2 linked regions of the Neodiprion lecontei genome follow. The protein of the gene in region 2 binds, or shares a complex with, the protein of the main gene of each other region. Links are inferred from orthologs where the notes say so. Each region holds a gene or a part of one and is shown on either strand. Other genes may lie near its edges.

Region 1 (3,294 bases), on a different chromosome or scaffold from region 2:
CCATCGGTAATTTTATTCGAAACTCAAGAGATTCTCGTTGTTACGGTGGATATTTTATGTTCATTAAAATCCTCATTTTATTCTGCTGTATTTTCTTACGGTTTACTATATCGCCGGCCATCTTATACTTGGTGACAACCAAGTCCTCGGCGATTGTCTTCTCAGCCTCCTCTTTGTCCGCCATGTCTTCTGCACACTGACCGGTCACGTGACACAATTGCTCTTGCTTTTCATCCAAGAATAGATGGCGCTCTGGACCAAAGACGCTCCCGGCGGAACCGGAAACATGGCAACGGAAAATCCCTGACCCGGGAGTTGTGGGGGGAATTTAAAATTGTTTCGATCTAATTCCACGCAGCTGCTGAATATAATCAATGATTTAACAAAGAACCTCCAAAGTATATTTTTCAGGTGGTCTTCTTCGATAGATCTTAAGATTCGAAGTTTTAATGACCTATGTAATGTTTTTCACCTTACTGCGCAATCATCTGTGATTTCAACAACTTTGTCAACTTGGTCTTGTAAAACCTTTCACAACTTCATCGGTAGATCACTAGGGTAAATAAGATCGCTTGTACGACACAGTAGGGTATACGTGAAATAATTCAGGGAGTTGGTTCAGAGTTTGACATCTCCTTTATTTACACATGGAACTATGCATTGCCACTAATACGACAATAAAATAAATATGTTAATTATTTAAAACAAGCATTCAATTCTTAAGCCTGAGCTGGTTTCTCGGGGGTATTGACAGAATCTATCGCACTAAGAATAGCGCCTTTGATTCCACTCGCCTCGATTGCATTAGATGTGTGTTCAGGTAAATTCGATATGAACTTAAATGTTGTAATCACGCCCTTGTTCCATGAGGATTTAACTAAGCACGTAATGTCTGTGACACTAGGCAGTTCGGGAAGCTAGAATAAAATACAGCGCCGATCAATTAATTGAAATTTCATATTCTAACACATAAAACCATAACAATACTCGAAGCCTAAGGTCTACCTCTGTTGCTACTTCCTTGGGAATATTTCTTTTCACGTATGGTGCTATGTTGTTGTACATTCTACCATACAGTTTTACAGTTTCCTCTGGATCGGACCAAAGACCTTCTCGAATTGTGTAATAAGTAAAGCCACCGGCTACGCTGGCCTTCACAGCAAATCTGTAATGTAAACTGAGATGTGTTATTCCATCCTTAATCCAAATTCTGTCTAGTCAAATACCGTGCCAGCAGAGCTTCGTTAAACTTCAATGCATATACTAACCGCAAGACGCCCATTATTTTATCTAACTTATTTTTTTTTTTTTTTTATAATTTACTTTGCAAAGAGCGATTAACGACGGATATCACCCACGCAAGAAGTCGATTATTCGGATTAAATTACATAAATGTCGTTTGTAGGTTAGGTTAAGTTACGTCTGCGATCGGTATCTAAATTCTTGATACTCCGTGGTAAAAGATGACAGCCGGAAGTGAAGAAAAGAAAACACCTTCAAATACTATTTATATATTTAATATTATTATTGTAAAGAAATACCGTCAGATGCAAAAATATTAGTTTTGAATACAAAAAATATATGCGTGTGTTTTCATCCATAATTCATTAGTTGTAATGTCTCCTTTGATTCACAGCGTGGAAAGCGAGTCCGGAGTATAGCGTGTGAAGGAAAATGGATCCGTACGTCAGACGTAACGGGTAAAGAGTCGGTTGACGTTTATAGCGAACTTCTTAGTGATTTTTTTTCTTCTAAAGTATATAATATTCGGTGCTAAGTGAATTTGATTCTGATATTTTAAGGTAAATGATGATTTACTTCGTGATTATTCGGAGCTTCGTACTCATCTTTGAAACTTTCGAACCCGTACGGTTTGCTAGATCGAGCTGCTATCCGCCTGACACACGCTGAGAATTCTAATGATTTTTCGTTTATGGACAAGAATGGAATAGAGTTTACTGACAATACTTTTCTCGTGCTGTTATTAAATATTCCTTCACTTACGTCATTCGTGAATCATAACGTGGCATTCAAGGTGGATACACATAGGTATACATATGCACATATCTATAGGATATGTATGATAAGAAATCAATAACTCTTTACATTTGTGTATCTACCCTATCACGAAAGCGTTGCATTGAATTTCTAAAAGGCGGTCGGCGGTTACCGGTACATTACGAAAATACGATTTTTCTGTATTCAATCCGGAAATGTACGAACATATTGGTCTTAACCCCCTTTCCCATCTAAAATAACGTTTCCTCAAGCTTTTGACAGTTGTCAATGCTATTAGGTACCTGAATCCATAAGAATTTTACTTAGATTTAAACAAAAATTTTCAAACTTTTATGAAATCTGTTTCATGGTTCGTGTTCACCTATCCATACGATACAAAAGGTTCCCACTGAAATTCAGTCACATCTGTTCGTTCAGTGTACAGGGTTAATAAACAAATATCTTATCTTGTTGCAAATATTTACCTACGAATCTTTTTTCATCACAACGAAGAGGGGCACTGCTGCAATGATGTCGGATCGAAAAGCAGAATTAGAACGGAAGAAGGCCAAGCTGCAGGCGATTCGAGAGGAAAAGGAAAGGCGGCGTAAAGAAAAGGAACAAAAAGATGTAAGAAGAAAAATCGAGCGGCAGAACATCACTGATTAGGGATTTCTTCTCACCAGAATATTGAATTCATTCTTCTCTTATTCCAAAATGTGTAATATTTTTTACAAGGTTGAGGAAGCGACTGTACGAGCTGCAGGTGCCGATAAAGACCATCGGAAAGACTTAGATGCCATGTTATCATCCCTTGGGGTAGCACCGGTATCAGGTAAAAAATGCAGACTTTGAAACGTATTTCACGCTGTCGAAAAATTCCTCGTCATACATTATTAGTGGATTTATATTTAAATATTGCAATATAAACTGAATTATAACCATTTTATGTTTGTCAGTTTCTGTGACTAATGAAAGACTATGTTTTGTTCATATTTCAGGTAAATTAGAAAAACCTATCCTCTGCTAAGATCAATGTTTAGAAAATTTCTTTAGTCAGGCTTCAGTAATATTATCTAAAAAATGCCACATTTTATTATACATTTATATGCTTACAGATGTATTATCCAGTCTCTCTAGTATGAACTCTTTGACGCCAGAGCAAAGTGCCAATGCTACACCAGACGCAAGTTTACAACCTTCCAGTATCAATTCTGTTCAAAGGTATTTTTGAAGATTGTGGGCTTCATATTTTATTTGCATAGTGTTTAGTTATTGGAGGTGAATATTTGACTT
Region 2 (4,986 bases):
TTTTGAAAAAATTTGTGTAAGTTCTTGAATAAATATAAAAATGAATAATGAAAATCAATCTATCATGACTGGAAAAATCGAAAAAAAGAACACATTACAAAAAATCCCTAGCGATGTGACTTCTGCTAATAACTATAAAAGCAAGTGAAACAACATTTGTACTAAGCAAAAGAAGTGATATAGAAGAAATTCGAATAATGTGAGCTGAAATATCAACAGTCTGAGAACAGGTTTACATATTTAATTAGAATGTACTAGACGACCAAACTTAGATGCTTGTATTCTAACCCTTACATTTTTAGGCTCATTTTCCTCACTGATCAGGTTCCCATCAATTGCCTCAAAAATATGCAAGAAATCTTACCTATCGTTCAACAGTTTTTATCTTTTGATTCTTGCTGATTTTTTTGCCTTATCTTTGGCTAACTTTTATTCTAGTTTTTCACATTGTTACATTATATGTAAAATTGGTACGAGTTCAACATATACATCTAACCTCACGAATTGATACGTGTAAGGTTCGAGAAATGTATATTATACAGAATTACTTCAAAGACGGTTTAGTTCTGGTGAAAATGAATTCCTCTCTAGAGTGATACGGAGTGTAAGGATCATTGACGTAGAATCTAGGCCTTCGCCAGAAATTGGTTACCATCGTGTCCAGCAGCCAAGATTGTGTAGCATTTACGAAGACGTGCTGTCTTAGCCGTCTTCTATTCGCTGGCGACTTCTTCCAGAGTTTCTTATGTCGGCCTGTCTTTGTGCGAATCCAACAACCCCTAAAGTAGTAACACAAAATTAAAGAAACATTACTACAACATATATCAGAAACATCACCAAGGATTCAATTAGGGTGAGCTGCATTACTTTTTGGTAAGCAAAAATTACCCTTGTTACAGATTTCTAAATAGGTTGCACAGAGAGACTTGAAATCAATCGTGGTCTTTGTATCAAAAGGTTTGGGAACGGTTATTTGTTATTTCCTTTGTATGTTTTGAATAAATTCAAAAACCGGCTCTTAGTTGAGAATTTGTAAATGTGCATCGGGTTATTTTACCACTTAGAAATTTAAGAATACAAATTCATATCTGCGTATTTCTAATCAATGAAAGAAAACTTCATCAGTACAAAGATTACCAGTTCAGTCTGTAGAATCGCTTGATGACCGCCTTCACACATTTTCGTTTCCCTTTCTGGAGTGAAAACTTAGTCAACGTTCTCACAGGGACTTGCGTTGACTGAATAGGAACTGGCAAAAGCATCCCTGCTAGAGGTTCGCTGAGTGACAATAAGAAGGAATAAAAGACAGAATGAAATATGTAAAGTGTTATAAATTTCATTTAATGGCCGTTACCTGATTATCGAAACTCGCGAATCCCTAGCCGAGTCTACGAGGGGTCGAAAATAAGTAGAAAGGGCGCTGAAACATCGGCAATTTGTCGTCGCGGTCGTAAATCCAGTAGGGATGAGTTTAGAGAGATTTGAATGTCCCGCGCTTACTCCGGCTGCGCGCGCAGTTCCAGCGGCTGGAAAATCAAAATGGCAGTGAGCTCAGCACTGCTAACTTAACCTCAAAACTTGTTGTAATCCAGCTGCAATTTCCCCCGCGGACGCCGTAAGAGCGTGAAATGTAGGTGGAAACACGGAGAGGCCGATTGCCAGGTTGAGGAACGAGCCGCGGTCGAAAAATCCCGGCGAAAACCGGGGCACTCACCTCGCCAAGCCAGACCGACGATGCGCAGCATTCTGCAGCCGCTCGGTTAGTTCCGCGATTCCGCGGTCCACGATCAGCTGTTTGACTGCTGGGCCCCACGTTAGACCGTCGTTCCTTTTTTCCCCCTTGGCTGAGCGACCGGCCGCCCGCGAAAAATGTTCCGAATTGGATTAAAATTCCCGTGCAACGGTCTGAATCGGGTACGTAGAGCGTCTTCTGCTGGTCCAAATCGCCAGCGAAATCATGCGTCTGTCCGTCGCTCGCGGTATCATCTCGTAGATTTTTTACACGTTTATTAATGTTTCCGGCCATGGCGAAGCTCGAGGGCTGACACGAAGGTCGGCCAAATCGCCTTCCTCGGCACCTCGGTTCGAGGATCGTCAGTGTTTTTTTTATTTTCACTTATTAACCAACACCTTGGCTGTCTCCCATCGGTTTCCGTTGGGAAAGTTTCAGTCGTGTTGATATCTTCATTGGCTTCTCTTCTGAGCCGATGACAAGATGGCTTGACTCAGACACAGCAGCTTACATAATTCTATGTTACTCTGATCAGCTTCGCGTCATATGTACTAACACCCTGACCCTATGTTTTCAGGTTAAGAAACACGGGTATTCCAGACTCTATCTGCTCAACGCCAGGTATCACGAGACACGAACTCCCATCAAATGCGAACCCGATGGCAGGTGAGAATCGATTCTCTGTTTTCATTCGGCGCCACTCTTGTCAGTTTCTGGTTCGATCCCCACTTTGATGTGTCAACACTTAAAAATTTATCGTGTCGAAACCTTGACGTTGAAAACTTCATAGCAAACCAAGTTTTCATATGATGTGGCTCAGCACGATATAACTGCAATCCTATTATCAAATCTGATATTTTGCCCCTATTTCATTGATTTCATTCATTTATTTATTACTTTGTATTTGACTCGTAGTTAAATTTCTTCGAAGCAAAACGCTGGCGCAGTTGAGATCCTCAGAAATTACTTAATGACAGAAGCACCGATGGTTTGAGTCAAGGGTTGTATCAAATAGTACTGCGATTGGTTTTTCTTGAATCCTCTAGCGTCAAAGTTTCACAGACCTTATATTTTCCCCTTTTAATTATCCAGAAACAGATTTGAACTAGATTTTATCTCAAAAACATTTCCTTGATTCATTGCAGTTTGTTTAAGCTGGTATTTTTTTTGGCAACGTGTAAATTACAGTGGCCAGTTTCTGCTTTCAGACTTCTAAAGGACGTTAAACTTACGTCCAGATTTTCTGGACCTAAGTATTCGACCGAAGCACCAAAAAGGTATTTGAAATGTGTGAACCGAGATATTCGGCCAGCTTGCATGTTGTAAAAGTATATTTTTCTGCTGTTTAACAAGACTACCGGTTTTGTTTGCATGTAGGGGTTTTGATAGTGGGTGAAATTTGGAAATAGAACCACATTTTCGGCCTGTAATTTCTTTACTCTTGAATGAGGTTTTAATCATTCTGCTTATAATTATTTATGCCAAATTTGCATGATGTGAAGTATTGAAAAAATAATTGCATTACAATCATTAATTTCCCAACGTCAAATCTTCTGCAGAGAGAAAACCCGAGGTTCAGGTGGCCTGATAACACTCGGAGCTTTGACAATCGGAACGTTTGGTATTCTCGCTTATGCCAAGCAAGATCCAGAGTTCAGAGAAACGTTGGAAAAATGGATTCCCGGCAGCAACAAAGTGATCCAAATCATCTTTCAAGAGGAACGATCACTCTTCGATTCTCTGAGAGATCTTTACGAGAGAATTACGCAAAGGTAATCATAGTACAATCAAAATACTTTTCTAAGATAACTTGAGCACTAAACACCTGATTCAAATCTTGTCTGGTTCATTTTTCACGAACTTTATTGATGAGATAAAAACTGAGACAAACAATGCAATAAAGCGGAACCTGACAATAGAACTCCATCTAAAAGTTGTCGTTAAAAATAGCTCATTCGACTATCTTTTTGCAGCTCCAGTCAGCCAGATTGGAATCCATCGGAAGTAGGGAAGAATCCAGTGATATCAGCCTGTAAGAGGACCATAGAGAATTATATACGTGAGCCCTGTCCCTCCCATCCTTATTATCCTTACTTGCTGATTAAAAGATTATGGTACAGTTCAAATGCCGCATAATCGTGCATGGCTTAAATAAAATCCGATTCGCTTACTGCCAATATGATACAAAACAAGCTGAAGCAGTCAATACTGTGAATGAAAATTCGGACCGAACTGTGCCATGTAGTTTCTCCCAGGTTACACTGCCCTGCATGATTATTTTTAAACATTAATTACTGACTTACAAACTGTAATTTGGTAACTTGACTAATTATTTGAACTGAAAGTGAGTGAAAAACATTATGTATGTGTCGAGTGGACAACTGCACAACTTACTCGACTAACAATTCATGTGTTGCTTTAGCTCCGAAATCAGCGTTTGAGACATTGTCTGATGTTAAGGAACCGCCGAAGAATGAACAGTTTTACCAAATCCGCTTCGTCGGGGACCCAAAAGACGAAGTTGAACTCGGTACGTTGATAACGACGGTCAACGCCTATTTTTGCTAATTATTTTTCACTAAAAACAGCTTTCGAATAACGTATAACTGTCCCAATAGTCCAGAAACCTAACAATATTCCCAAGCTCGTTACTAGCAACAAATTATTCACCATTGCGCACATTTTACAGCTTCGAAAGAGGTTTCATCACCAGCCAAGGATCATCAGGACACTTTGCTGCCTGAAAATCTTGTCGAACTTGAGGCGTCCTGTGGACAGGCTGCTGCAAGAGCAATCGAAGCTTATCATACAGCAACGTGCGCGATCGAGAAGTACAATAAAGACGTAGTCAAAGTAGTAGAAAACACCGAAAACACAGACGTTCAATTTTGGGACAGGTGAGAATGCGAGCATCAGTTCGACATCGTTGAGAAGTTATAAAATCCAACAAAGTCTGTAAAACTCTAGTTTCAGTTTGACTCTAAATTTTTTTCATGTTTTTACTTATGTTTTATGTGTTTTTGTTCTTTATATAAAAGATTGAAGGATGCAACAGAGGCGAGGAAAAAGGCGCTGGCTGAGGCGGAGAACAGCGCAGGCGAGGCCTTGCGTTCTTTGAGAACATTGTCGAGCCTGATCGACGACCCGAAGCTCGCTGCATCCCCTGTTTCGAAAACGGTCGCGAGACGAAACATCAAGAAAATAATCGACGACGTTGACGAGGCAAAGCAGAAGTTTGACAAAGAGGCGCAGAG

The links.
Region 1: MICOS complex subunit Mic60 (region 2) and MICOS complex subunit MIC13 homolog QIL1 share a complex: the UniProt entries of both Drosophila melanogaster proteins name them as parts of the mitochondrial contact site and cristae organizing system (MICOS) complex. The link is inferred for Neodiprion lecontei from reciprocal best matches to the Drosophila melanogaster genes Mitofilin and QIL1.

What each region holds. Positions count from the first base shown.
Region 1 is NC_060260.1:9,423,228-9,426,521, reverse strand, and holds MICOS complex subunit MIC13 homolog QIL1, read right to left. Parts: upstream 1,464-3,294; 5' UTR 1,283-1,463; coding exon 1,227-1,282; intron 1,166-1,226; coding exon 1,006-1,165; intron 918-1,005; coding exon 720-917; 3' UTR 618-719; downstream 1-617. Other genes in the region: proliferation-associated protein 2G4, read right to left, coding at 100-184; cytoplasmic dynein 1 intermediate chain, read left to right, coding at 2,527-2,628, 2,737-2,833, 3,117-3,222. UniProt on the Drosophila melanogaster protein: Component of the MICOS complex, a large protein complex of the mitochondrial inner membrane that plays crucial roles in the maintenance of crista junctions, inner membrane architecture, and formation of contact sites to the outer membrane.
Region 2 is NC_060263.1:18,781,994-18,786,979, reverse strand, and holds the start of MICOS complex subunit Mic60, read left to right. Parts: upstream 1-1,779; 5' UTR 1,780-1,869; coding exon 1,870-1,914; intron 1,915-2,309; coding exon 2,310-2,398; intron 2,399-2,940; coding exon 2,941-3,009; intron 3,010-3,291; coding exon 3,292-3,504; intron 3,505-3,705; coding exon 3,706-3,764; intron 3,765-4,154; coding exon 4,155-4,262; intron 4,263-4,421; coding exon 4,422-4,629; intron 4,630-4,770; coding exon 4,771-4,986. Other genes in the region: 39S ribosomal protein L35, mitochondrial, read right to left, coding at 545-779, 1,138-1,278, 1,355-1,526, 1,715-1,745. UniProt on the Drosophila melanogaster protein: Component of the MICOS complex, a large protein complex of the mitochondrial inner membrane that plays crucial roles in the maintenance of crista junctions, inner membrane architecture, and formation of contact sites to the outer membrane.